Linked DNA regions of Drosophila melanogaster. The protein of the gene in region 2 interacts with the protein of the main gene of each other region in a pairwise test. Each region holds a gene or a part of one and is shown on either strand. Other genes may lie near its edges.

Evidence for each region.
Region 1: the proteins of CG14074 (region 2) and CG31804 interact in a two-hybrid assay, tested with the Drosophila melanogaster proteins (one large-scale study listed by BioGRID).
Region 3: the proteins of CG14074 (region 2) and CG7737 interact in a two-hybrid assay, tested with the Drosophila melanogaster proteins (one large-scale study listed by BioGRID).

What each region holds. Positions count from the first base shown.
Region 1 is NT_033779.5:17,357,872-17,368,108, reverse strand, and holds CG31804 (uncharacterized protein), read right to left. Parts: upstream 4,614-10,237; 5' UTR 4,513-4,613; coding exon 3,874-4,512; 3' UTR 3,758-3,873; downstream 1-3,757.
Region 2 is NT_037436.4:18,857,549-18,867,931, reverse strand, and holds CG14074 (uncharacterized protein), read right to left. Parts: upstream 1,708-10,383; 5' UTR 1,671-1,707; intron 1,613-1,670; 5' UTR 1,594-1,612; coding exon 583-1,593; 3' UTR 501-582; downstream 1-500. Other genes in the region: Dysb (dysbindin), read right to left, coding at 1-52; CG6865 (uncharacterized protein), read right to left, coding at 2,511-2,666, 2,729-3,024, 3,338-3,676, 4,145-4,211.
Region 3 is NT_033778.4:11,218,727-11,229,342, reverse strand, and holds CG7737 (uncharacterized protein), read right to left. Parts: upstream 5,899-10,616; 5' UTR 5,745-5,898; coding exon 5,660-5,744; intron 4,774-5,659; coding exon 3,227-4,773; 3' UTR 2,597-3,226; downstream 1-2,596. Other genes in the region: metro (menage a trois), read left to right, coding at 310-339, 667-834, 906-1,227, 1,387-1,680, 1,800-2,320; Syx6 (syntaxin 6), read right to left, coding at 7,483-7,559, 7,714-8,415, 8,722-8,962; CG9084 (uncharacterized protein), read left to right, coding at 10,176-10,260.

The DNA.
Region 1 (10,237 bases), on a different chromosome or scaffold from region 2:
TGGCCGCCATATACACACTTACATAAAATACATGCCAAATGTATGATTTGTTAATACTTATATCTCACTCATTTTTCTAGGTTCGTAGTTCATTTATGTAAATACACAACAACACTCACAAGGAACACTTAAAGAAACCAAAATACATAGATCACAAAACAATCGAACATATATCGAATCAAATCACACAAGTCACAAGTTATTTATGCGAGTTTTTGTTTTGTGCAATTGTTTAGATTTAATTATGTATGTGCTACAATCGTCAGCTAGTTTTTTGTTAAACTTTTCCCATCACACCCATACGAGCGAAATATCGGGCCAAAATTACGACTAGCGATTAGTTGCATATTGAATACTGTTTTAAGTATGAATCACATATGAACATCCAAATATTTAGATATTTATCGAATTATTATTATGGCATATTTATTATGTAGCTTAGATGTAGATCTACGATTAACTGTGGTAAACATTTTCTACCGGCGCTGCATCATTTCTACGATACGAATCGAATTGTACTAGACCCCTAAGTCTTGGAATATACAAATACTATATAAACATATATCAAATAAAGCGGAGGAAAATTGTCATACGTAAGAACTATTTTCTTTTAATCTGGGGAAATATTTTTGCTTGCCTGCTCACCGAAAATTGGCAGCAAATGTCAACAGCTGGGGCCCAACAAAAAAATGGCGTAAAAATCCTGAAAGTTTTCTTTTGTAGTTTCATAATTTGCATAATGCGCCAAACAAACAATTGACTTTTTGGGGGTTGGGAGCTATAAGCGGAACCAAAACCGCTCAAGCGAAAATTAAAAACACTCGACACATCCGCCAGTTTTGTTTAGCAGCTGCTCCAATGGCAGTCATTTTGGTAAGTGAAATGTTGGCAAAGTTAACTGCAGAACTATGGATGAAAAAAACGTTCTCCGATAAAGTAGTTTTTAAATAATGGTAACACTTTTGTATGCAAGCATTTTATTTTTTTAAATTATTTAGTAATGGTTGAGTGCGATAGCTTAATGCTTGTGTGTATGTAGTTATGTATCTGAAGTTTTCAGATGTTTGTGTCTCATCAATTAGTCAGGACATAACCTAAGTAGCACCTATTACTAATTTACGCCTACGGCAAGGAGCAAGGGCACAGGACAAATAAAAGGACGTGGGCAAGAGAAAGTGGGGAAGTCGAGTCATTTATCACTGTGAAATTTATTAAAATGATTATCTCGTATCTACATTTCGCACGGAATGCCTAATTTTTTCCATGACAAAACAACACGCGCCTTCTTCCGAACTTCAGTTGGTTCAGGACTTTTTTTGTGGTTTCCTATTAGGGGCACTCCGGCAGTTTTTGCCATTTTGAGCCACTGATAAGGCAAAGGAACAAAGCGGCCCAAAAGTGTGGCGGTGCACTTAGAAAAAACTTTATCTATTTTAGGCCTAAAATGTCAATCAATAGCTTCAATAACAAAATCAATTAACAACCATTGTTTTTTCTGGTGTTTTAATTCTTTTAATTTATTGCTCTTTTCATTGATTTTAAACATTAATTTATGATAATATGGCAATACATGTGGCTCTTAATATGAACATATTAATATGCGAATATGTAAAATAACTTTCGTTTTATAACCAGAACTAAAGTAATTATTTTTCAAAAATTCTTTCAGTGCTATGGGCGGAATTTTTGGTGTCCCTCGGCTGGGGCCATAGTTTAATTGTGACATCTGAACAACTCCACAACCCCTCCGCTGGAATAACGCCTCAGGAGAGGGCAATTAGTTGAACTGCGCCCTGGGGAATTGAGATAATTAAAATGACTTCCACTGCTGCTGCTACATGCGGAAATATTTTTTAGCCAACTAATCTGATTGCTCCTATATCAACTCTGTCAGCTGAGTGTATTCTTGTGCGTTTGCTCACAGCCCTTTTGAGAAACGAAACAGAATCAACATTTGCATTCAATTCGATGGCAAAAAGCACTTTAATATATTTACCCCCATTGAAAGTCATTTCGTTCTAATCCTATTAATTCAAATTCAAACACTTTTACCACCGCATCAAATAGAATTGCTTTTCGAAAGACCAAGACGAGGGGTAGAAATGTTTGGCTGTTCTTTTTGTGGGCGAAAAAAATTGCATTTCATTGTTTTTAGCAATCAGAAAATATTTTACCTTGGCCAAGGGATAGCTTTTCGACTATTGTGTTCCGAAAAACGATTTCCTTTTGACCAGGAATTCAGTAGCACCACGAATTGAACTTGGATTCAATCAAAAGTAAACTAGAAAACGCAATCACGACGACAGCTTTTGCCAAATGACAATTTAGAGTGTTTGATGTGGATTTGTACTCATTCGATTCGAAATGATTTTTGGAAATTAGGTTGAAGAAAACAAACCAAAGAAATTTGATTGTTCCTATCCACAAAATATACTTTTAATTATTAATTTAGTTGCCAGAAAATATTACAATGAAACACTGAAAATCCAAGCCAGATGAGTATGTAAGCTATGTAAATATAGCTCCTACATTGATTTACACTTAATACACTTTTGAAATGTATATTCAGCTATAATTTAATTATTCGAAATCATTGCAAAGTTTAATCCTTTAATTTTATTCATACCAAGAGTATATAACAATTTTAATTTGTTTGTGGCCTAATAGCCGCCGAATTTTCACTTGACTATGCCCTATTTAAATGCATTCCAAACCACTCCATCCCCACCAGGCATTATAATGAAGATGAATTTTTGTAGATTGTGTATTTATCCGGTTCGTGTAGCAATTTCATGCTAAAATTTGTTTGGCCAAAGTTCCAACTCAGTTGATTTTCTGGCTTTCATTACGCCTTGGGCCAGAGTGTAGGCAAAATTTAAATAATACAAAAAATAATATATATAATATATATATAGGTTTGTGTGTAAGAGGGGGTCTTTAAAATGCCTTTTTTGGGGGATACGCAGACCCCATTAAATATGCAGCAGACGATCCTAAAACACGTATCATCCTCTGATGCCGGCGCAGTTTCGCACTTTCGTTGCGCTAAATGAGTTTCAGCTGCAAAATTAAAAACTTTATCAGAAGCAGCAGGCAGAGGTGTGAGTGTGTGTATGTGTGTGTGTGGCAAAAAAACTTGAAACTTTTTCATGAAGTTAAAGCAAAGTAAAATCAAATTATTGTGGTTGCTCGCAGGCTGGCAAAAGGATTACGCGATGGTGGATCTCTGCCTTACCGCTCTTCTACAACCAGCACCACCCACTCCGCCCCACTTTCCACACCACTTTCCACCCCATTTTCCACCCACTGCGGCACCCACCTGTAATAAAACATGCCGCCACTGCATTTTGGGAAGGCTGCCAGACAGAGGGACGCCGTCTCCATAGCCAGACAGTTAGACTCGCCTGGCTGCCTGTTCACATGAAGTTGGCGCATTCTAATTGAATTTTCACTTTTTTTCCCGACCGCTCTCACCAACCGCCCTCCAAGCACCCACCTGTGCGACTACGTGACGATGGCCTGGCACAGAAATTGAAATAATTATTTTTAATCTTAAGTACGACTTGCGCGTAATGAGATTTGGATTATCCCGGCGCCCTTTTTTCCAACTCCCCTAGACAAGTCTCTACGAAAAAGAAACTGTTTGCTGTGAGACGCATAAAAAGTATCTGTGTGTTTGGGGATGACACAAAAGATGCGAAATTCTCTTCCTAGTGTGTAGCAACTATTTTGGCTGACTCAAGAATATAATTGTGTTACTTTGTAGGGAAAAGCTATATATTTGCTATAAACTTATTAGGACAACCAAATTTAGAGATACGACTTCTACGGGCTTATCATTCATTTTGTGACATATCAAAGTCTTAATTTTCCTTATGAATATCTTTTACGTCTTGCCATAAGGACAGCCGAAGGACGTCTGCCACAATTTCTGCATCGTGATCGGCAATCCCTGCAAAGACCAAAGAAATCCCTGGGTGGGAGATCCTGCATAGTCTGCAATCGACGGGTATTTCTTTTTACTGAACCATGTAAGGATTTAGAATCCAACGAACATTCTCTATCACTGTCATCATATTTCCCTTCAAGGATATCCAGTAATTTTAAGGCAGTTCGCAGACGACATTGTGCTTCCTTTTTGATAGTTATGGTTCGGAATTTGCCATCCTGCTTTCGGGAAACTCCCGCCTGCGGGAACTTGTCAAATTTTTTTTCCGGAATATTTCTTTTTTTAAAACTCTGTGATAACCTTTGCTTCTGTGGTTTCGCGGCAGTTTTAGAAGTTCTTTTCAGGTCTTGACTAGCTTTCGACATTTTCCGTTTAATATTCTTTGACGTTTTTCTAGATCCTAGTCCTTGGTGGATATGTATCTTCTTTTTGGTGGATGCACTTTGCCTGGTAGCTACATCCATAGCCGAATCCACTGTGTCCGTTTCGTTCTGTCTAAAATCGATAAAATGTTTCGATTGAAGGAAGTACTGTCCATCGTTCGAACTATTTTTTTCTGCCATAATCAAGAGAATTTGCCTTTTTCGCCCTTTTGAAAATCTTACTACACTTCAGATTTTGATTGTGTATGGAATAAATCAGGGACACTGAAGAGTGAAACTTGATTTCTTTTTGATTTTCTTGACTTGGCCTACGTTGGTGCATAAATTGCCAGCAGGCAGGAAAAGTTTGGCCACCCACAACCCTCGCAAATATTGCATTTTCATTAAGTTAAAGTTTGGTTTTTAGTTTAATTTTTTCGTACCCTCTACGCCTTTCCTCCCTCCGTTTACTTAAAAACTTTTTGCGGCAAGTTTTTTGGCCCAAAGTTTGCATGTGTTTATCTGTCAGTGTGTGGGTATAAACGGTATATGTATGTGTATATGTGTATGTGGGTGAAAGAGTGTGTATGAGCGCGTGTAATAATCATGTGCGCAGTCAAAGCAAAATGACGATAGCATTGATGCTCCGCCTAAAAACTTTTGACGGGCCAAGTTGCTTTGGGCCAAGTTTCAAGCTGCCAACTACAGCATCGCCTATATATACCTATATACCAATTTCCTCGAAATATCTGTCTGCCAATAAGAAGCTTATTTAGTTAGTAAGGCTGATTAGGAAGAGTGTTTAGGACGAAATTAACTTAAAAGCAGTTGAGAAAGTATATTTTTTGTTAATTTATCCGATTAATCAATGAGCATCAATATTCAGGGATGTGTTCCTATGACATATGTATATGAAGCTATATAATATATATTATATAGACAAATTTAAGACACAAACATAAATGATTTTTGTTGTATTAGTTAGTTGTAAGTGCTCTATAATCCATCATGAGCCCTTTAAATTGTTTTCAATAACTAAAGTATTTGATTCTTAAGATTTTTTTTAATTTCCAATCTAAAATCAGTTTTCCATTTCGCAGTCAATTTTCAGCTTCAGTCGGTTTCTTTAATTATCAATGGAAAATATCTAAAATTTCTGTTTTCGCACTCGTTCGCTTGCAAAACTTCGACGTTTCATAACAATAGTGAAATGCGACGGACAAGAAATTTTAATAAACTCAAAGTCGAACTGAAAACCATTTTTACACTTGGCCGATCGTTTACAATAACTAAAAATTGAACAATTCTTTCTATCACCGCACTTTTCACAGTTTATGTCAAAATGAAATGAATAAAATATTGGCTGGCCACCCGGCGACACTCAGAAAAGGGGGATTGCCATCATCCTTTTTTTAATAAACTTCGCCCAGTTTATAAAAAATTTTTGAATATCAATGTGCGAGGCGAATATTGTCTATTAAAAGAAATGGATTTTTTTGGTGTATAATAATGGTAGGTCCATTGCAGATTCCGCTTAAATATTCTTTAGTGTTTTTTCAGCTTTGATTTTTTCTGGTTTTGCTGCAGTGGGGCGACTGCATATTGTGGGTTATGAAAAATAAATTAAATGCTAAAGATATAGTTTTCGTAGGGTCATTATATCCCTTACTCAAAGATTCGTTGAAAAGTATGTAACAGGCAAAAGGAATCGTTTCCGATTTTTTAAAGTACATATATATGTATATATACATAATATATGTATATGTATAATTGTATATATATATATATATATATATATATATGTTATATATATATATATATATATATATTTTATATATATATATATAAAAGGTATTCTTGATCAATATCAATAGCCGAGTCGATCTAGTCAAAAAAACTTTTGGCCACACCCACTCTAACTCCCTAAAACCGCCCAAAACTAACTAATTTTCTGTCGATTTGCAGAAAACATTTTGCCACCACCACGCATTCTCACTAGCTGAGTAACGGGTATCTGGTAGTCGGGGAACTTGACTATAGAATTCTCTTTTGATTTATATTCAATTGCTAAAGTGTTGAACTATGAAGCATTACAATAATAGAGAAGTTGAACTAAAGCTAAGCTTTTAAATTTATTTTTAACTTGAATAGGATGGGCAATCTTAATTAACCTGCATTTGTACTGAAACTTTACGCTATTTAAATTTGTTTAATAACGCCAGCTGTATATTATTACTTTAAAGGTGTACAAATATGAGTTATATTGTGAATAAGTGTGTGTACTTTGCACTAGAGCATACATATATGTAGTTCAAATGCACCTCATCTATCCTTGTTCACCTTTAGTTCTTGCCCCATTTTTATTGCTTTTGTGTACTCCAGATGTGAGCTCCAACTTGTTGACCCAAATATTGGCACAGGTCCTTGAGCACTCAACAACTTGTTGGGTCATCGTCATCTCTTCTGCCCAATGAGCAAATCATTTTCACTGGGCAATGGGCACGGAACTGGCAACCGGGCAGCTGCACTCTACTTGTGCTAAGCACATCATTATGTTGGCTCAACTTTCCGATCATTTTTAATTACCCACCCAAGCCCTCTTTTCGATTTTCTCGCCAGGTCCAGCTTGCAGCACCCTTATTTTTTGTTCGCCATTAATTTCTTTAATGGAACGCTGCATTAATAAAAAATACGTTATGAGCGCATAATAGAAATAAAAGCTAATGTAATTACATGCCGCACTTGTTTCGCCTTGTTGCAGTGCAAAACGACGAGAATTTCCCACTCCCAGTCTGCAAACGAAAATCCTAAAAATTTAATTCCAACAGTTAGAGCCAGTTGAGCGATAAAAGGTGAAAAGAAGCGGGTATATGGGCATTATAAAAAGCCGTAGAGAAGTATTAGTAATGTACATATAGCGAGAAAATAAAAATTAGGGGGCACTTACTTACTATTACGCTTAATGTAGTGAACTGAACTAAAAACAAAGACGCTTAAATTACAATGCATATAAGTACGTGTAAGCTTCTTATGGTTAAAAGCTCTTTTTTTTTTTGCTTATTACGATTGTACTATTAGTCAATTAACGTATTTTATTAAACAAATTAAAACGATTCTTCCCACCTTCTTAAACTCGTTACAAACCAATTCAAGGGTATAGGAAACTTTGAGTTTCGCCCACTAGTTTTTCCTATTTTTCCTCTATTTATTTTTGTATTTTTTTGCCATGTTGTTGTTGACTGCTGTTGGGTGCTTAAAAGCTTTGCATTAACTATTAAACGCAACTTGAATCGCATAACGCCACTTGGCACACAAAGAGGGTGAATTCAGAGGGTGACGGGTTAAAAAAGAAATACAAATTCGTGTCAGAAAAAGTGGCCGCAGGTCTAAAACAATAGAAGCCAAATTATGGCTAAAAGCGGAAAAACTGCCACACGAATCGTTACGCGAGTTGTGCCTATAAATTTGGAGTCTGCCGAAGCCAGGTGAGCAAATATACATTTCAAATAAATGCTTAGGTGCACACAAAAAGCGTGTGGCAATTCGGATAATGGATTTAAATACAATGTGTTAGGATCTGGCTACTTAAGTTTGATATAAACTTTTAAAGATTATTTTTCAATCAGTAAAATATCACAAATATTTAAGTTTAATTTAGTATAACACTTATTTGCGGGATTTAAGTAAGCTGTTCAAATACAAAGCGGGGTCTTACATTAAATGCTTTGCTATTTCTCGGATTTCTTAACTTAACTATGAACATGTCATCGAATTTTACTATACAAGTGATTAATTTTATTTTTAGTTAAGTGTACCGAAACTGCAGGTTTTACGCTAAATAAACTTTTATTTATTTTACTGCCTGACCCGCCTGGTCTTTCGCCTCTTTTTTTTTGCTCTTTCAGCAGCACGCGAGGGGTGCTAAAAAATTCATAGAGCACGGCTGGCGATACTGGCCAAAAAGAAGGGGGGATCGGGTGTTGTGTTGTGTAGCTGAAAATTCCTGGGCCAAAGGAGTCGAGAGTTTGAAGCTGTTAGTCTGACAGGTTGCAATGCTATAAAATGCAATCAGCTGCAAAGAAAATAGGTTTTGCTTCACCAAACAGACAAACTGAGGAAGGTTTTGAGGGGAAAGAGGAAAAAAACTGGTGGAAAACAGTAGAGTGCATCCACAGGAGCTGTTTCTACTGCTGCTGGATGGCATAAATTAAAGCGCAACAAGAGCAAACAGACTCAGGGCATATTTGCCAGCACGCACACACATACACATACACACTGCAGTTGGGTATGAGTGGGGGAAAATGTTCATGGAGTTTCCCGAATGGATGCGAAAAGCGGAGTATCATCAGGTATATATAGACAAACAGATTGTGGGCTGACTGCGGACATTCAATGGAATTGCCACAGGAGAAGACAAGACACGATGATAATGCTTCAAAGCGCTGACAACTTTCCGCTAAACAATCCTCTCCATTTTACTTGGTACATTTTCATTTTGCTTCTACGCCTGGGGCACGGCTACGTTTAATTGCCGCCTGTCGCTCAGCTAGACAATTGCAAATTGCCTAAGCGAAGCGGTTGCGAGTCAGTTAAAATAAAACCACATAATTACATATTCAACAGAAATTGTTAGCCTATTTTGGATAAAATCAATTAGGTCATACATAACCTTTGGCGTACCAGTTTGACGTGCTACTAAACAAATAGTTATCCGAATGGTTTACCATCAGCACACTGAACGGATAAATGTAAACAAGTGGCGCCCAACGTGGAGCGTTTTTGGCTTATAAGTAATAGGTTGGAAAAAGAGTTGTCAACCCTATGACGCAAAAATATATGCTAGACGATCTGGTCATACTGGTATTCTTTCTATTTTTGAAATTTACTTTTTAGCTTACTATTTAAAAAAAATCTGAGAAGTTAAAGTTAAGTTTGTTGCATTTTATCCCCACTTATTTTATGAATTTCTTTCGGAATTTAATATTTCTTAGCTATGCTTGCTACACCCTTTAACTCAATCAATCAATAAAGTAATTTATTAGAAGCTGCGCTTAACTAAAAACCAAACTGCTTTCCAAAAACCCACGACAGCTATTCAATTTCAGCTCCGTCAGTGGCTTTGATGGACCAAAAATTGAGGAGGAAGTTAGTAAGCCAAAACCCCAGCCACGCCCACACTCCTCCACGCCGCCGAATTACAACGCCCACGTCGCCCCTCGAAAATTCCGTTGCAATGTGAATTTGAATTGCAATTGCGAATGGCCGCGTGCTGGAAATTAAATAAAACACTCGCAACGAAAGGCTGTTAGGATAGGAGCATCCGCAGATACAAACTTTGTCATAGGGAAAAGTTTTGCGCTGCACACTGAACCAAAATGAAAACGTAGCCGAGCGTGATGAACCATGGCAGGATGCAAAAGGGGTGGAATCTCTGCAACGAGAGGAGCAAAACCAGGATGTCCTGACATCTGCACCCAGAACAATCAACCAACAAAAAAAAATAAATAAATAACCTGATATAAACTGGGGCCCTCGCTCTGATGCTGGATCAAGCTCAATTTAATTGCGTCTGACCAAAAGTAATCTACGGCAAAATGTAAACAGCGATCCATCGCTTCAAGCACGATAAATCATATGGCTCACTCATTTGTGCACTGCACTCTCATATTTGATTTATCCCATGGCCAAAAACCATCACCAACTGTCGAATCAATTGCATTTTTCGGTTAGCAGCTGTATGCGATTTTTGATGGAACACCGTAGAGCAACCACTTAGACCTGTTATTAGCCATCATAATTCTTGTGTAGACAACGAGCAGCTGCCACTTTTGGGTCCTCGAAACGGACGGACAGCACATCTATCAATTTGCTACCGCCGACCCACATGTACTTCTCACCCTTCTTTGTATCCTGTTCCATTCCGTCT
Region 2 (10,383 bases):
CCAGGCCCTCCTGGATCGCACTGCTAAGCTTCTTTTTCAGGTTCCCGAACATCTTGCGACAACGGATCTCTATTTATTTAACTTAGCGATTTCTAATTGTCTTCGCGCTGGCGTTTTCCATCGAAAATTGAGTGGTAAATAAAGAATCAGCTGTTCGGGCAGGTGCTGAGAGAAAATCGGTCATAGAGAGAGAGAGAGAGCAACAGTTTGTTGCCGTACACGAGAGGCATATCAACTATGGCAAGAGCTCTGGCACGTGGTTTTTATTACTTACTAAAACTAATAAGTATTATTAACATTTCAAATTTTGCATTTTTATTTTATAATTTAAATAAAAAAATGAACCCAAAGTTGATATTATAAACAGACACAACAGGGTATCATTCGGTGGTATATTTAGTATATTACTATTAAACATAACTTAAAAAAAAACCAACCAAATATGAATCTATCTATGGCAGAGCTTATATCTGTAATAATAATATAAAAACAATATTCTTAGTTTGGTTCAACTTCAGTTTGTTTCCTTTAAAATTTCATTCTGATCTTACATAACGATTCTCTAACTAAAGTTTAGCCTAATTAATCCTCGGTCAGGTCCACTGTAGTGACAGCTGTGCTATCGTCCACTTGTTGATTTGTGCTATCCGATTGAGACGGATATTCAGGTTCAGACGCAGGTTCAGTTTCACATGCCTTTTTTTTGGGCTCTTCATGGTACTCAATTATCTCAATATCACTATTATCACCAGATTCTAGGGTTATACAGCTGCGTACGCTGTTCTTTGCTTCTGAATCTGAGTCCGAGCTTGATTTATTGCCGCTGGACTCGGAGCTCGAGCTTACTTTAATGGTGAGAACATTTGGCTCTTCGTCGCTGGATGAAATGGACAGGGCCTCGGGCTTCTCGGATTTGTCCACCTCTTCGTCGGACATAAGTTCCCGGAATATATCGCTTATAGGAGAGGAGGAGTGTTCCTTAGACTCGCTGGCTTTCTTTTGGCTGCTCGGGTTTAGTAATTGACCATAGGCCATGGCCACTGCAAGAGCCATTTGCTTGGAGTGGTTTAGGAACACATCTGAAGGCGGGGGTATACGTAACGACTCGCTGGGTGCGGATTCCCAATCGCAACCGCTGCTGCTCTGGCTGCTTCTTCGTCTTCTGTGTGATTTTTTGTGTTTTTTAACCTTCTTTTTGCGCTTTTTTCGCCGATGTGAACTGCTGCGACTTCGACTGCGGCTTGAACTTCTGCTGCTCCTAGTTCTTCTTCGGCTGCGATGCTTCTTGGCCTTTTTGTGGCGGCTCCTGCTGCGCCTTCTGCTGGAACTTCTGCTTCTATCAACACTTTGAGTTCTGGGTGCATCGCGGCTGTAAAAGTAGTTGGACTTCCTCCTTTCGTGCACATCATCCAGATCCTGCAGCTTCTGTCGGCAATTTGCCTGTGTGCGCTCCTTTTCTCTATCATTATGCCGAATCGCGGTGTTTATGGTGCGGCCTAAGAAGCGTTTGTTTAGTTTGCCCAGAGGATTCACTTTGCGTTCGCTTTGTTTCGAGGTGCTGACACTGGCATTTGCACCTTCGATCTCGCGCATTAGCTCGGCAATCGCCTGACTAACGTGAGAGCATCAAATTAATTAAAAATATATCGGATTGTAATATAAATATTTACTTTGTTAGGTCTGCGTCCATTTCCATTTTTTGTGTTTGTTTATGGCATTTAATTGAATACCAATTGCTGCGAAACAAAAAATACCGCGGACGGTAAGTGCTACTTATAAGTATTTTTAAAATACTAAGTATAAAGCGATTATTGTATGTGCGTTAAATTAGCGTCGATGAGTTCGCGGCGATGACGGAACGGTGGAAATCAAAACATGGGGACGTTTTTTATTTATTTATTTCTTTTCGTTATTTGGAGGTGAATTGCAAAAAATAAAATAAAGATCTTACTAACTATTCCCACATTTTCGGGAATTTCTCCACTCGTAGAGCGTGACCACTTTTAAGGACATTTCTTTAGGGAAACGGCGGGGCAGACGTCAAGACATTCGTTGGGCCACGGGTGACAGTCGGTCGGGCGGGGCAGCAGGTGGGACAGTAAGCGTGGGGAGCCAAGTTTTCAAGTGCATATTTCATATACTTTCTTGAGTCCTATGAACTTAAGTCGTACATAGGTAGTTAGATATTTTTTTAAACGTTATTGCATTTTTTTGAATTCAATAATGAAAGAATAAATTATTCAAAATTCCATCGTTCCTCCGTTCCTCCTACACTAGCGATATTCTTGTCGATTAATATTGTCAGAGTAATCTTTTCTGCAAAATACCACAAATTAGTCCAACGATATCGATTGGCACAATCATCGATTAAAGTTTAAAAAATGACGACCGGCCGCAATAAATTGAATTTCTAGTTGGTTAAAGTAACGTTTATTGAAGAAGATCACATAATCGAGTACGACTAATATCACAGGTGAATCACAATCTTTATGTTTCAGATTCCTGGCCAACTATTTCCTGCCGTCTATCACTTTCTGCATCCAGGACACGTATTTACTGACGCGCGTGTAGATTCCGGGCAAACCTGGACGTGCACAGCCGATCCCCGTGGACACCACGCCCACCAGATGATGCTCCTTGGACATCAGCGGACCGCCAGAATCCGCCTGTGAAGGTAAGTAAACCCGGAGCATAACATGTGTGCCGTATCAGCCAAGTGAATACTCACCCAACACGAGTCGATTTGACCGTTTTCATAACCGGCACACAACTGTGTCTCTCCAATGGTATTGCTCTTGCCCAAGGATCGGTAGGACCTCTCGCACGCCTCGTTGTTCCAGATCTTAACGGTAGCCTTGCGCAGTACATCGGATCGATCGTTTTCCGCTTGGTTCTCGTGCGTCCAGCCCCAACCGGAAACTGTTCCGTACTCCTGCTCCAGACTTCGGTGCCCCTCCTCGGATCCCACGCAGCTGGGCTGGATGTGTGAAGAGAATCGGATTGGCTGTACCAGCTCCAGGAGGGCTGTAAAAGAATAAAATACCAATTTGCAATAGCTTAAGGAATACTAAGAATAATAAGTATTATTTGATTCGTCTCTGATTCATTATGGTTAATGTTAATATCCTTTGTTGAAACTATTTCCTACCTATGTATTTCTGTTTGTTTTTTTAAAACCTAAGCGCATATTTTTAATGGTGTTTTACTAGATTAAAATTTTTTATTCATTTTACTGAAAAATAATGTCATGTTAATGTCATATTGTTGATTTATGATTCAGTTCTGTACATATGGAAAATAATTGAACCTGCAATTACCCCTTAAAAAACACACATACCTATATCGTGTTTCACATCGTTGCAGTCGTATTGCGGATGGGGCACAATGTTCTTGAAGTCCACCCTCAGTGCATCCGGACCGTTGCCAATCCCGTTGAGGTACTCCCTGATGCTATGCAAACCCACAACTCCTTGGATTTGAGCTGGTTTCATGAACTGCTGCAGCCCATTGCAGATGCAATGTCCCGCCGTGAGGATCCATCGCTCCGAGATGATAGTGCCGCCACAAAAGTGACCACCACGACGCATCAGACTGACCATGTAGGGCATTTCGTTGCGCTCCGCCTCACTACCTCCCACGATTTTTGGATTTCGAACCGAGCATGGCTGGTTGCTAACTGTCATGGGAGTCAGAGGAATTTCAATTTGCGTGAGTTCATGATAAGGAGTGTTGAAAATAATTAGTTAATATAAGCAGAACGCATTTATTTATATTTCTCATAATCTAGTAAACTTTTCCTTATGCACGTTTTATGATTATACAAGTTTTGATAGAATCTTGAAATATTTGTAGGTTGAGTTCTTATCAAATAGGGAAGCATAAACTGTTGCAATTGGAACATTAGATGTTAGATTTATCCAGTGAATTTAGCATATAAATCCACAATGCTAAAAGATCATGCTTTCTTAATTGATATAAACTAACCTAAAATATTAAGGACTGCAAAAATGAATGGAATATTAAACACAAGTTAAAAGTTAAAAGGTAGTTCCCAGGAATCCTAATTTAGGAACTATAATTATTTTATTTTTCATATTATATTTGACTTATTACTCTTTTCGTCACATTTGTTCAATCAACTCACAAGCAATTTGGGATTGTGCACACTTCACTAGCGACAGAACCGCGACTACGAATACGATTTTCAACATTTTCTGTGTGCACAACCAGTGTTCTTAGCCCCGAAAAAAAACCCGTTAAGCACGGCTCAAGCTTAAACGAAACTGCCACGAATATTCTGTGCGGCAATTAATTTATATATAGGTGTCTGGGCGTCCAGCGCCTCTCCGTTCCACTGACTTACTTCACTGTCGTCCGGAGTTCTATGCGGATTAGCCGGAAAGCTCGCTCTCTCGGCCTGATAACAAACGGAAGTCGCAGCCGGGCCTTTGGCACCTGTTGCCTCAGCTGAGAGCTTTTTTTGCGCTGCACTACCTGTCTCATCGCCTTTTTTTTTTTTGCTGGTATTGTGGGCATGGGTGCCATGTGCACACGTTATGGCATTTCAATTGCTCCAAGGGGGGGGGGGGTGAATTAAGGAGCTGCCGAAAAGTCGAAAACAAACCCAAAAGTAAACAATGGCCGAAATAAAGTTTTGTGTGTTTTGCGTTTTATGACCCAGCGAAGTTCATGACATTGAAAAGTGCGCGACAAAAGGTGTGACAATATTTATGCTGAATTTTCGATGCCACCACTACGAGTTTATTGCACCTCTATCCTTATTTTAGTACATTATTATTGCGATTAGCACGTATTTAGGGTGTTATTGAAATTGTTGTATGGTTAATAAAGAAAAGGGTGTAAATATTATTATGACTTGTTAATCAACTGAAATGCTATTGCATAACTACAGAAAATTTTATAAATGATTCAAAACCAACTCTTTTGATTTTAAATTTCTTTTTGCTTGCATGTAGTATCTTTTATTTCTTCAGTTCTTATGATTTACAATGCATTTTTGTGTTCCTACAAGATCTAATTTATCTAATCTATCTTAAGAAAGTTAAAAAAGTTTCTAGGATTTGCGTAATCGTTACAGTTATGTCATTGCCTGCATTTGACACAATTAGTTCGCACATTGCAGCTAACCTTAGACGTCATATTTCCATCAGTTTAGACCTGGTAGTTAGTAATCGGGCCTGTTATGCAAATTAGGATGTCTGCGCTGCATATGAATACTGTGATGGGACCAAAAATTAATTGAAATTCAATGTCGGCGCAATCAATGTAATATTAGCCGCTTGACATTAACATTGCCCTTAAAACTAACGCATGGCCCACACACTCAATGCAATTGGCGACATGGGAAGGTTGATACACCATCCATCGCATATCAAAGTGATAAATGCAGGTGGAAGTGCATTTCTATGACATAATATGTATTATAAGCAATAGCATGCCAAAAATGATGGGTATTGAAGTGGGCAAAGCAGGAATTGGAATTGAAACTGAAAGTTAAGACGGAGTATGACAAATCTACAGACCAAGGCATTAATAATTCATTATCCACAATCTCGATTCTCAGTCGGAGCACACAAATCAGTTCAGTGGATCAGACAAGTATGCCAGAATTACTAATTGATTTCATGACTTTGGTTCCTTAACCGAAAACCAGATAGCATCCCAATCGAGTTCATTGATCGCGGCAGCTCTGTTTCGCACTAAATGCTAATTCACTAAACAAATCGCCCATAAAAAACACTATATATCCATTGTCTGCCGTTGACTGGCGTTGATACCAAATAACCAAATATAAACAATATTAACAAACACGAGTGCGGAGCTCAACTGAAACAAGTTTCAGGCGCATTGACACCCGCCTTTGGGCGAAACTTGGGCGCATTCAATGTGAAGGTCGCTTCGATTTGAGGTACTTGAGTTATGCTTGACAATTGTCATATTATTCAGCTATTTCGCTACACTTTTGTTTTCATTTCGACGAAGTTCAACGACGCCGCTCTCAGGTGACTAATTGCAAGGGGGAAGTCTTTGGACGTCGCTAATGCGGGTGTGTTTGGCGCTATAGGAAATGTTTTGGGGCGCAGTGAACCCATTTAACTGGCAGGTATTTATAGGAATCACGAATGGGTGGTAGTGGGTTATAAACAAAAACATTTAGCATAGATGCTTCAGTTATGAAATTTAACTGTTTATTATCTTCTTAATTGTGACTTAATTAAACTAGGTATGTAATTATAGTTTATAGTTTTCGTAGTGAGTAGGCTTTAAATAAAACATTACGTTATAAAATGGAACTATCTACAATCGTATAAATTGCAATTTAACTATATATAATTATAGCTTATAGTTTTCGATTGAATTTCGAGTGAGTAGTGGTTTCTAAATAAAACACAAGGATGCTTAAGTTATGAAATTGAACTGCCTAGAATCATATAGATCACAATTTCAGTAATTTATCAGTTTATATCTTTAATTAATGGGATATAAATTGCTTCTAAATATTACATATTAATTATGTATATATATAAATATTTATACTTGTTCTTTTATTTTCGCTAACCAAATTATCTAGTTTCACTACAAAAAAGTCTTTGTTACAAAGATTCAACTTGCTTAACAAAGATTCAGAAAAAAGGTATACATTTATTTAATTCAAAAAATTATATCGCTGGAACTTAAATATAAATATTAATAATAAGTATTTCAATTTATCTATAAAATCGTATGTATAATTAGCAATGCTTTTTATTTAAAGTAATTAAATTTGAAATCTCTATATATTTTTTAAACATAATTAATGAAATAAATCTTAACTTACCAAAACGAAGTGCTTTGAAATCGTCAGCGTTGAGGGGATCACTTATCTGGTTTCAATTATTGCTCGAAAGCCAACTGGTAAACAATGAGGGCTTTCTGAGCAACAATCAAAATTATATAAGTGTCCGTGAAGGAACTCTTATATAAAACAGCCAAACTTAGCCAATGGCTTAACACAATTTTGGGCATCACAATGCACTGACCATTTGAATGTTATTCTTATTCTAGGCAGGCCAACACGTCTGCTCGGTGTGAGAGCCGCACCGGAACTGCAATACGCTTGTCCAGCCGCTGACGTTGTATCCTTGTGATCCTGGCACTAGCTGCCAGGCAACACGAACGCAGCCAGCGCCTTCGCGAACCGAGCGGAAGCCAACAAGGAAGCAACATCCCTCGTTGTCGGCGGCTTTTATCCTTTGGGCCTATGCGGCGTATGCGTGTTATGCAAACGACCGCAGCTCGGCTTTCGCTCGGCTGCCTTTTCGATGGCGACCAATGAGAGTCCTGGCATTGGTTTTTTATTGCCGAGGACCTACACTATTCCTTGTTGCGCAGGCGTAAATTATGTCAAATTTTGAATTTTACTTTTTAGTTTATTTCGTTTCGCTTATGGAGATACAGATTGTTTCAATTTATTCTTGGCTAATTTAAGCAGTTTTTAATTGCTTAAATGGTTTTCATTTAGTTCTTTTAATGGCATTTGACCGATATTGTATGTTTCAGTTTGGAAGTTCTTAAAAGGTTTAACTATTCTCCGCATAAAATTAGTTAGTCAGTTGGAAATAGATAGAATAAATATAAACGATTGGTATGGGTAAAATAATTCTATAAATTGAAAAGCATCCGAAGTTAAATGTTTTTTTGTATTTCAATTTTATTTCAAATTTGCTTTTTTAGGAATGTAACTATATTCGTTGGTTTATGATGTAATAACTTTAGTGACTCTCGCATATATACATATATCAGTTGGATAGAATAGCTATTCTTTCCTATATACTGATGCATATCAAATTTTTAAATTTGAAACTAATGAAATTTTAGTATTCTAATTGGTGTGAATTGCATGCGTTTTTTTATGATGGATGCTAACTTTTGAATTTATCAAGATTTATGTAAAATTATTTCTTTCACTTCAGCTTAAGATACTTTTGGAATTTTATTATTGTGTAGGTATGATGAAACTATTTTGATTTCGTGAACCTTTTGTATGGCAATTGTACTTGGAACACGCAATGCCTTAGAGAATACCCCACATCAGTTTGTTTTTAGCCCCACCGCTCCCCAATTATTTCTAAACAGCCACAACTAAAACACAATCAACACATTCGCAAACTAAATTTCCATGAGCTGACACTTACATTTTATTTGCGAAATTGTGATTGACAAGCTGTTGACACGCTTTTAAGAGGTCTAAGGATGAAGTAGCCGAGGAATAGCCCCTTTCGCGGCTGGGAGATTTTTCGCAATTAAATATTGAAGCCAGCACACGGGCAACATGTAACATTGCAGCAATCGCAAAGAACTGGGGAAATGCAGTCATTGCAACCGAAGCGCATCAAATATGCTGGCTAAATTATTTATGAGATTGTTCCGCAGGCGAGGCCTGTGCAACATTTCAATATGCTAATTACTTTTCGACTTGGCCGGGAAGGCAGCGAAAGGGCCAAACGAATGCAAGTGGGCGCCACTTAAGCCGAAAGGAAAAGGTAGAGCAAGTGCTAATCATTGCTAGATGCCTGCCACCGATTTCCCAGGTGGATGCAAGTTCCGTAACAAATGCCAAAATCTATCGAAGGCGACACTTCAGCGGAAATAAACAGCAAAGAAAAGGCAGGCGGCAATGGATTGGAATGGAAAGGCAGGCATGGAAAATGTGTCTAAAATTTGGAGAAGTAAACTTCGCAGACCTCCTGATGTCAGGTCGCAGTGCAAACCCTTATCCATCTATTCCGCGGCATTGTTTTTGCGTGACAATTGGGCCAATTTATTATTCATTAGGTTAAAAAGTCACAGCGCAACAGAACACACAACACGAACTGAACCCAAACTGACAGCCAGCCAAGTCGCAGCCATTTGTAATGGTTGCGCCAAGAGGCTGGAAGGGATTCCTTGATGGATCCCGGCAAGCTCTGGCATTTCAACAATTTAACCTGCAACTTTTTTGGGGAAATGCTCTAATTGATTTGCTCGGAAAAATCCTGTTTACCTTCCTGCTCTCCCAACTTTTGGTTCAAGTTTAATTCCGACAGTTGCGGTTCGAGATTCATTGTTGGCTAATTAGATTGTGATCAGGTAAACAAAAGGAAACCAAAGTTGGGACATGAGATACAGCTGGACTATTGTTATAGATTTTGTTAAATAACAAGTTTAGAAAACTAAGGACACTACAAAAATTTGGTGAATTCAGTGTGATCCTATTGTTAGATGTTAGAATATGATTAGATTGTGAATAGTACAAACCAAATTGCGAAACACGCACTTTTATCACAAAAAGTCTAAAGTCAATTATTTGTAATTCAAGTAATTTTTTTAGTTAAGTTATGTGAATGATTTTTAGGTGACTATTAATGCTATAAATTGCATATTTGCTTTATGACGGTAATTCAATTTTTAAATGATTTTATTAGTTTTATATAATTAAATTCAACTATTATTATGAATGTTAAAAATGACTACTAATCAAAATGTAAATATGTTATGGATTTGATTAACCAGAGTTGTTAAAAATAATATGCGAAAAATTTCCTTGCGTATGTGTTTTGTTTTCAGGGATTTCGGTTTAGTATTAGTATTTACTGGATATGGTAAGTTATGAAGTCCAAATATGCATTATAATTTTAAAATTAGTGTTGAATATACACTTTAATTAGGCACAGCTTTAATTAGCCTCTTATTCAAGACTTTGCTCAAAACGTCCCTAAATTAAAGGAATCGCTTTGATGCACATCAGTGTCAAATACGAGGCTAATTAAATATAGTTTTTATATTGTTATATTGTGTTATTGTTAGCTTGACAGCTCTAAGATTCATTCAATATCCTTGTTGTTTCTAAGCTAGTTTCAAATTTGTTAAGTGCTGAACTACTGTCAAAGAGATTTAAGTTTTTATTGGAACTATGTATTCATCATCCCATTTCGATGCAGACTTTTATATTAATTAAGTCAGCCTTAATTTAATTCATCTTAAATAACCATCAATTCGCATGGCCATAATTTATTTTTTCCGCCAAGGAATGCCTTACCAAGGCCTAATGGACACAAATGGAAATTCTATTAAGGTTATTCCTTGGATCTCCGCCACCACCGCATTTGTCACATCCTGGGGAGTACTCGTCAATTAAATCAGGCAAACAAACGTAAAAAAAAAAAATGAGGAAAAATCCTTCCGAATGCGCAACGTCCTGCGGCATTGTGGCTTTTTGCTAGCTGACTTCGACTTTCAACCTTTTCGGTTTTCGGGATTGTTACGTAAAAAGGATATGGAGATGTGCTGAGTAGTGTGTGTTCGGCAAGTCAGGTGTCACATCGATGGGCGGAGGGGATGGCG
Region 3 (10,616 bases), on a different chromosome or scaffold from region 2:
TTGTGCTGTCCATCGCTTTCCACCGTCCACTTTCGACTTTCATTTCCGTACCCCGCCCCGACTTTCACCGCCTACCCTTCGCCTTTGCCAACTGCTCCTTTCTGCGCCTCCATTCATACTCGTTCTACTGTTGTTATCGCCTCCATGTCAACTCTTTTCAATGCTAATCAATTTTGTCAACTTTGCCTTTGTTAAAATCGAATGAAATCGAATCAATTTCTCGAATTCGCCCATACCAAACAAATATGCATTCGTTAACAAAAACAAAAAAATGTAAAAATCCAAAAATGTATAAAAAAAAAAACACAGACAGGAGCACAGAGTACGGAGCCAATTGTTGTAAGTAATCGAATGTCCATAGCCGTAAAATGTCCACTGTAAGAAATAAAACAGAAAACCCATTCGCCAAGCACTGAAGACAACAAACAACAGCCAGGAAGCTGTGCACACACCAAGATACATGTCACATAAGATACCATTACCATCCTTTGTTCCCATTCCGTTGTTCTTGTCGCTGTGACGCATCCATTAGATACACTCACATCTAGAACATCGGAAGCCGCACTCCACACAGATACACAATCGCACACACACACACACTCTCTCCACACGCACACATACGCGCCTTGCGTTGGCTTTCTAGTAACACGAATTGCCTACTTTTAGGGCGCCACCATTAAAACGGACGAGGAGTCGGGCAAGATAATCATCGCCAGAATTATGCACGGCGGCGCTGCAGATCGCTCCGGATTGATTCACGTCGGCGACGAGGTCATCGAGGTCAACAACATCAACGTGGAGGGCAAGACGCCGGGCGATGTGCTCACCATACTGGTAAGTATGCTTAGAATTGATCGAGAAACCTCATTCTTGATGTAATTTTCATACCTTTTATAAACAACCAGCAAAACTCGGAGGGCACCATTACCTTTAAGCTGGTTCCCGCGGACAACAAGGGCGCCCAGCGCGAGTCCAAAGTGCGGGTGAGGGCCCACTTTGACTACAATCCGGATGTGGATCCCTACATTCCGTGCAAGGAGGCGGGTCTGGCCTTCCAGCGCGGCGATGTGTTGCACATTGTGGCCCAAGACGATGCCTACTGGTGGCAGGCGCGCAAGGAGCACGAGCGCTCGGCAAGAGCCGGTTTGATTCCCAGCCGGGCGCTGCAGGAGCGCCGTATCCTCCACGACCGTACACAGAAGAACGGCACCGATCTGGACTCGAAGCGTAAGCATATCGCGTTGCCAGCCCATTGCTTCCATAACATTCGCTGTTCATTGTCTTTCCATGACTAAAATTGCTCTAATTTCATTCTTCATCTGTGCCCCCCTCATCTAACACTCGACCCAACTCCAAATGGTCCCATCCATGCATTGCCATCGCCAGCCGGATCATGCGCCTCACTATGCACCACCCCACCTGGCTCCCCGCGTCTGCCTGCGAGTAGCAGCACCTCCTCCTGCCGCCAGCCCAAGACTAAAAAGATCATGTACGATTTGACAGAGAACGACGACTTTGACCGCGAGCAGATCGCCACGTACGAGGAGGTGGCCAAGTTGTATCCACGGCCCGGAGTCTTCAGGCCCATAGTGCTCATCGGAGCACCCGGCGTGGGGCGGAATGAATTGCGCCGCCGGCTGATAGCCCGGGATCCCGAGAAGTTCCGCAGTCCGGTTCCGTGTAAGTTTTCTTAAGTTTGTTTTATTAAGTGAACAAATGAACTAGTGTAGAAATGACCAAGTGAACAAATGGACCTCTTTTCGAACATCTTTAATAGAAAACCTATTCGTTTTTTTCAGACACCACCCGACCAATGCGCACAGGTGAAGTGGCCGGACGAGAGTACATCTTTGTGGCCCGCGAGAAAATGGACGCGGACATCGAGGCGGGAAAGTTTGTGGAGCACGGCGAGTACAAGGGCCATTTGTACGGAACATCGGCGGAGAGTGTCAAGTCGATTGTGAATGCCGGCTGCGTATGTGTGCTGAGTCCGCACTACCAGGCGATCAAGACTCTGCGCACAGCTCAGCTGAAGCCCTTCCTCATCCATGTGAAGCCACCAGAGTTGGACATCCTGAAGGCTACGCGAACGGAGGCGCGTGCCAAATCCACATTCGACGAGGCGAATGCCAGAAGTTTTACGGACGAAGAGTTCGAGGACATGATCAAGTCGGCCGAACGCATAGATTTCCTATACGGACACTTCTTCGACGTAGAGCTGGTCAACGGCGAACTGGTCAATGCTTTCGAGCAGCTGGTCCAGAATGTCCAGCGACTGGAGAACGAACCGGTATGGGCACCATCCATGTGGGTGCAGTAGATCGGTTGCCAAATGTGGACAAGCATTTCATGCAGTTTGTTGATGAACACCAAAGTATTTTTGCCATACGAATTTAGCAATCTGCTAGAGAAACGGAGAAGAGACACTATTTACCCGTAGGCGGTCCTGCTGGGCACTCCCGTCCGGCCTTAGTCCTTTTCACGACATGTACCTTTTTGCGTAACAGTGAAAACAATGTAATGAATACAATAATTATTGACAGAAAGTGAAGGAAATTTGAACTCAACCAGCATCTAACTTACAATTAAATTATATAAACTTGTTGTACAAAATTTATTTGTGTTCAAAGAATGACTTAATTATAAATGTATGTATTACACGTTGTTGAAATCAAAGTACAGAGTTAATCCCCCCGTAAAACCTAAAGCTAATCGTATTGTATCTCAGTTGTATATACACTCACTAACTGAAGCATATTGGATACAATGTGAAGTTCTGTGTGACGACATGTCTCATTTCGAAAACTGATTTCACCAAAAACGTAGTGACAAATTGTTGAAAACAAGTGAGAAACTAATAAAAAAAAAAAACTATTTTAAATGCGATTGAGAGGGAAGCGTTTTTCATTAGCTTAGCAATTGATGATGTATATATTAACTTTATTTAGGTTAGAGAAGACTTAAACACAGCTTTATTGGGCAGCGCACTTGTTGACATATTGACATGCTCACGTACATATAAACTCGTAAATATAATCTGTCACCTATGCTAACCTATGGCAAATGTGTAAATTATTAGCTTAGGCATATGAAGTCTATCCAGGATGTACTGATCAGTTTTCTTGATTGTATCTTGTAGTGCGAAGACAGAATTCTACATCCACACGTATAACTGGGTCAGGTATCGCTGTCGTCTATACATGTTCTACGATATCCTAGCCTACAGCTAGAGTTGCGATTTGGTTCCAGAACGGGACACGCTTATTCCGTAAAACTGGGCCAGTCGTCTGGCCTCCCGCCATCCCGCCTCGACTGCTCCGTGAACCGTGGAGTAGTAGTGCTCGCTGGACGCTTCTCCGGCGAACTGGACAATGGGTCTATCGCAGCGACTCTGCTGCCACGCCTCGTCCTCCGAGTCCTTGTCCTTCTCCGGAGTGGTGGCCACCACGGTCAGGGGATGGGATAACTCCCGTGCACCCGTTCCCAGCTGCTCCGTGTCCATGGATCGATAGGAGTAGGACCCACGAAAATTGTCATTCGTATACCAGGCAGAGGTGCGGAAATTCGCGGGATCTGGGATTTTCCACCTCAGGAATCTTCGGAAGAGGTACATAACGCCAGCCTGGACCTCATCAACGGGAAGGGTTTCCATGTGCCTGCCGCTCTCATTGGTTATCCAGCCCGCCAAGATTCTCGGCTGATAGCTCACCCTGTAGAAGCCAAAGACATCCTCCAACCATGCTCGAGAAGTGCCGCGTATGTCATCCAAATCCTCGTCCCGCCAGAGCATGGTGAAACCCGTCCAATCCTCGGGCCAAAATGCCTCGGGAAACTCCACAAAGATTTTGTTGACCGTTCCAAAGGCCAAACCGTCAATGGCACGTTGTTTCTCTACTGGAAGCTGTGGCTCAAATAGCCGAAGGTGCTGATCCTTGAGAACTCCCAATGAAACCGTGACCACCACATGGTCAGCTATACAGGTCTCTCCATTGCTCATTTGAAGTTCCACGCGTCCGTCGTTCCGATTCCAGTTGATCTTCACAACACGAGTGCCAAGCAGGAGACGCTGCTCCAGAACTCCATGCTCCACATTTAACTCCCTGGAGCGCATGAGAAGCCGTAGAAGCTCCACATAGCCCTTGTCCTTCCAGTTTAGCAGGATATCGCCCTCGCACTCCCAATAGTCCAGGTAACCTCGTCCCGAAACTTGTTCTAGCGTATCCGAGGCCTCGACGGAGTTCTCGAATTTCTGATAGTTGACAAAGAACTCACTGGCCACCTCTGCGTCTATATCGGAGTTTTCCGGACGCCGGAGAGTGTCGTAAAACTTGTTGGTCAGATAGCTGCCCAAGGAACCGCTGCAGTGACGCAGCTCCAGTTGCCGGGTGACCAGTGAATCCCCGACGATGGCTTTCAGGCGACTAGATACCTCTTCCGGTACCACATCTCCGTTGGAGCGGACGCACTCATAGTTTTCGTAGACCGGACCCGTCGACTCCAGCAGCTCCTCATCCTGTTTCCGTGTCAGTTCGTACACAATGTTGTCCCGTTCCCCATGACACCATTGGGCACCCAGATCAATGACGTTGTCCGCAAAGGGTATAGTGTGTATGCGGCCACCTAGACGATCCTCCGCCTCCACGACGAGCACATTCTGAAAGCCCAATTCCAGCAGTTTGGTGGCACAGGCCACACCCGAGGCTCCTGCTCCGATGACAACGATCTTGCGATCCTGATTCCGCTGTGCGCCACTCATTCCGGGTAACTGAATATCTGGTTTGGAAATAAAGGGGTAGCAGAGCAACAGGAGAAAAGCAAATTAAATAATAAACACCATAAGTTCGAATGTGCTAGAGTGTGAGTAAGTGGGTTGTGGGCAATTGTGCGTACACTTGAAAAAAATCTGGTATACTTAAAAGCACATTAAGTATGGTTCCCTTTTCAACCCACAATATTTAGAAAATTATATTTGGATGATTTTTTCAAACTTGCAAACTATTTAAAAATTTGTAAAATTGTTTTTCAATTTTATGCAACAGTAAGCATTATTTAATTATGGTTTCCTTTAAACACACAATATTTAGAAAATTATATTTGGATGAATTTTTCGAAATAGCAATCTATTCAGAAATTTGTAAAATTGGTTTTTAATTTTACGCAACAGTAAGCATTATGGTTTCCTTTAATCACACAATATTTAGAAAATTATATTTGGATGCATTTTTCAAAATTGCAAGCTATTCAAAAATTTGTAAATTTTTTTTTCAATTTTATGCAACAGTAAGCTTACAAATGCTTGGCGTTAAAACTGTGTAAATTGTAATACAATATCACTTATTCGCAGTCATGCCTAAAATCTCAGAACGTGAATACGTTAGCTTTACTATCCATTGCAAATGTTAAAGTGAATAAAACAAGCCCTTTTAAAAATTCTTATGGTTGTAGGAAATTTGCTTTTCAAAATTCCCATTTTGCTTTCACAGATATGGCTTTTCAATTTCCCTTTCACTTTCAAAAATAGCATTGTAAATTGATTTCGCAATAAACTTATCGTATAATATACATAAACAACAGTCTGTGCGGGTAATTTGCTGATATATAACATGATATTTTCACCAACAGAATTAATTTTGTGTTTTTTTTTGCCATTTTTGCTTACTGTGCATTGGAAATTTGCTTATGGCAATGGTGCATTGCAATTCCAGACACTTGAGTTTTATTACCGTCCACTTTCCGTACAACATAAACTACACACGTCTTTTGATTAAAAAGTAACGGCATGTTCGCTCATCTGTTTCGATAACGAACGAATCCCTGCCCGCGAATCCGACTTTTGATAAGAGTTTCGAAAAAGCTCCCCCCACCCAGCAATGAAAACCACGAGCAACACACTGGCGTCCAAAGGAAAACACACGGCCACCAAGAACACATGTAGTCTGAAATATGTTCACTCGCTTCTTCTGGCCACATGCATTTATTAATAGCCACGGCAGCAAAGGGAAAGCGGAGGAAAAATCCCAGAAGGAGTATCTAGCCAACCGGACCAGCTGGTTTTACCTGGCGGTCAACTGAAATCTGAGTGTTTCCACGAAGAGCAGTAAGTGGGGGGGGGGGGGGAAAGAAATGGAAGCGGTATCCCATCTTCCGCCGTTTGACATTGATTTTATATATTTTTGGCCAACAAAATGCTCAAGGTTTTCAGCGGCAACAAAAACTGCACACAATAGGAAAACCAACCACAAACATCCGAGAGGAAGTCGAATTTTGGGTTACTGCATATTTGGGGGTGATAATGGGTGGGTATGTTCACTTCACTGCGCACTGTCACTCACCAAAATAACTTTGAATGCCGCTTAGCCGAAGTAATTCAACAATTGAACATTTCTACCGGAATATCAGGAGATATATATATATACTATATGCCAACTGCTGGGAAAACTCCAGCTCCGCGGAAAAGGCAAACAACACTGAATGCCGAAACCCGAAAAACATCACATGGAAACGTGCCGCTCTGCCCGTGTGCTTATGCTGTGACCCAGTGGCGTAGTCCGGATTCCCCGTAGGGGTTATGTTTCAAGCCTTTCGAAGATACCCCTTTGGTTGCGCCACTGTGCGCAGACTGTAAGCTCGCCAAAAAGCTCCGGGCAAAAGCATGCAACACAGCTGAGTGAGTGGGCAAATCGAGTGGGCTGTCGAGTGGTTTTGGGGCGCAGAGAGAACATGAGAAGGGGCCTGATACCCTCTCCTTGTGCACAGAGAAAAATTTGGTATTAAATACCATTTTCCAAATCATTGATCTATCAGAAGATAACATCTTGACTAATCCTACTATCCTTAAAAACATTAAAAAATTTGAAAGCTTGTATTTCCAATTTTTGTTTAATTTAGGCTTTCAAAATAGCGAACAAATTTTTGTATATGTATACAATTTCTCTCTGTGCACTCATACAGTATTTCTAGGTGACCCGTAAGAAGTACCTCATTTGGCTTTAAATTAGGAATTTAATTTATAAGTATATATATTTACTCAATTGCATACAAGTTTTTGCTAGATTTGGTTAGTGAAATTTCCTAAGACTCTTCGTTAAATAACTCGTTTGATATTGGTAGGTCCATTTTGTTTGTATGTATATATATGCAGATATATCCTTCGATGTATATACAGCTTACAGTTGCAGTATCCTTTGGCCAAATTGGGAATGACAGAACTCTGGAGCACTTGGTTTATATGTAAGTAGTTAGTTATCTTTTATTACCCGCCTACATTGACTTTACATGATCATTTGTCCGTAGCTTTGGAATTACATTATATATATATAGAGAGAGGCGGCTGGTAATAAATCAGGTTAAAATGTTTCCGTGTATATACAGCAAGGGAGTTTACATGGAATTGTAATTAAGAGCCCGAATTCAAAAGCAAGCTAAGTCATAAATAAATCTAATTTACACTAAATATAAACGATTTGGGAACAACGAAAGCAATTACAAAATAATAAACAAAATTATCACAAACAATAACAGTCCGGATAGGATGAGAATGGCGGCCCACTGTCGTTTATCTGTGAAAGAAGATGGATACAGTTAAGAATTAGGAATCAGAAGTCACAAAAGTATTCAATGGGTAATTTTGATTGTGGTTCACTGAAGCATTTACTCTTCATTAATATTTCAATCAAAATAGTCCTTGAATACCACAAGTGCCGCACCACTCACCATTATTCATGTGCAAGACTTTGGCAACTTTCTTCATGGTCGTATCCAACTTGGACTCCGTGGTATCGAACTCGTTCCCAAAGTCGTCTAGCATGACGGCCTGCTCATCGAGCTCAACGCCAATTTGCCGCGAGACCGTCTTGAGGGTACCAATCGAATCGCTGATCATGTCTAGCTGCTCATCCTGTCCCTGGATCATACGCTGCTGTATGGACACTGTTTCGCCCACGTACCTATGACTCGGACTGTCCATGCCGCCGTGATGCGTCTGCCCATAGTGACTGGGACTGTCCAGGGCGTTCTCCAGCTTGGAGTACTTGGTGCCGCTGTGGCGGGATGCTGCTGCCGCTGCCGCCGACATGGTCCCAGCTATGGTATTGGCCACCTGACTGCCGCTATTGATCAGCGAGTTGCCGTTGGGACACTCCACGAGGTACGTGCGATCGTTGTGTGGATGCTGATGGTACTCGTTGGAGTTGGAATTCGAATTGGGTATGGCAATGGAATGATTGTGATTGGGGCTGTGGCGATCGTTGTCGAGCAGCGGCTGGTGTGCGGTGATGTCTCTGTCCCGGCTCCGGTTCAGGCTCATCTTATCCTTCATCTGCTTGACCTCATCGCGAGTGTTGTCGATGAAGTGGCGCCGGCTGGAGAGTTCGCGGTTGTCGATCCGAAACTTGCTTGGATTCTTCTCAACGATGCGTGTGAGTCAAAATGGTATGGGTTAAGGAGAAAACCGAGGAGACTGATGAGCTAGAAAGTCGGTTCTACCGACCTTAAGATACCAAGTACTCTTTTTTTACAATTATAGTGCCAAAAAAACAAGTTCTGTACAGTTTATTAGTATAATACTAATAAACGAGCGAATTAAATCACGAATAAATTGCATATTCAGCAATTTTAAATGGGATCTCAACCTCTTTATGCGAAAATAAAACAGACAATGCAATTCGATAAATGAGTACCAGGTAACGAATTGATTTTTCAATGGTCTTTGCAAAAGGATATTGATAGTGTCCTCGAGGTCCTCGAGATCCCACTCGATGCTCCGTAGCGAGTTACGCAGCTCGGTGGTGGTCCATTCAGCCTCCGTTCCGCCGTTCTCGCCCAGCTCCCGCCAACGCAGATAGAGGCCGCGGGTTTTGTTCAGAGCTTTGAATACCTCGCTGTTGGGGAAGGGGAGGGAAATGAAAGAAAAAACAGAGATATAAGTAAGATAGCACTTTCCACCAGCAGTGCATGTGGCCATCTGCCAAATCGGGGACACCTACTCCTTGACCACGAAAAACGGATCCTCCAGAGACATGCCGCGTTCTCTTCTTGCCACAAAACGAAAACTAACACTCCTAGCAGTTTTTCACCAGCGTGGCGCACTTGACGGTTCTTTTCATGGATTTTTCCGGGCGAAAACCACCCCCCAAAGGTACAAGGGGGCAAATTGCAAGTTGGCAATAGCAAAAGCACTTCGTGGGAGTTACATCAAAAGGCAAGCAAATGGGGAGCAAATTTTTGCTTTCAATCCGTTCTATATAGCAGGAATTTCACAATCGACTGGGTTTTATCTTTCGCCTAGCAGCGATGTTTGAACAGCACGTTTATTGATTATTGCACTTGGACCCGCTCCGCCGCTTATCGCTCGATTTCTTGTGGATTCCGCCGACTTAGCTGGTTCCACCGATGGCCCAGAGAACACTGTCGCTATTTGCGCTCCAGAGATTAAGCCCCCACCGAGAACCACTACCCCACTGGCATTTGTTTACGCCGCTCCCGCTCCAGCGGCTGCGCACTTTGGTTCCTTGATTACCAACCCCTTGACTAACCGATTTGAAAACAACCCGAATTTTGGCCAAAAAATTCCACAACAACAAATCGTCGGCCAAATGGCCAGCACTGTTGCAATTTTCATCGCTCGCTCACCTGCTGCTCGTCTCCACGTCATTTAGCAAACTTCGGTCCGAGAACACGGTGACGGACTTTAATTTCAAGTTCACACGAGACAAATTCTGATAAATAAATTTAAGTAAAGGTTTTATTTCTGTTTTGCTGCTAGCAAAATAAACCGTAAGGCTTAGTATGACCCAAGTGCGATAGCACGTTTATCCCGCGATAATTTAGTATATATCGCAAGTGCAGAAAATACGTTACTAAACAGTTTGAATCAGGTGGCAGCTCTGGATTTGAATATATATTTATCCACATTCAGCTTGAGCAGCATAAACGAATATTTTGAAAACCTGCAACATTCGCATGAATTAAAGTTTACAAAATAGCACTATAAATAAGCTATTATTACTATTTCACATGAGAACGTTCGTAATAGAGTATTAAAATCATCTGAGTCAGGAAGTGTGACCAGGCGAGGGGCACAAAGCACTTAACTTCCGTTGTGCTACTGCCCCACTGACCACCGTTATCAATTTCATTTAGACCGCCGTCAAATAAGTTTGAAAAGTGCTGGCGAAATGTTGCAAAACAACGCGGTGCGCACTTTGCAATACGACAGTGAGATCCGTGTGGCCCAGCAGCCAAGTCTCTCAGAACCGAGAGGTAATTTAGGGCATATGGCTTTAGAAAACGAATAAAAACAGCGAGTGAATCACCCTGGCAAAAGGGTAACCGAATTGTTACCAACTGATAAGCAGTGCACCGGATTAATTATTGTTGCGAGCGAGTGTGTCACACAGTTCGACGCAAAAATGCGGCCACAAGTTGGCTATATCTTATCGGCCAGCGTTTTGTTATGGTCTGCGACTCCTCAAGTGCCTTTGTTTGGGACGATCGAACCCAGCGATCAATCCGATAGTAAAACCGTACCCATGATATTAGCTGTATCCTATACCAACATTTTCCTATTCCAAGAAAAGTAATAAAATATTTATGTGACAAGATTATGAAAAAATCGA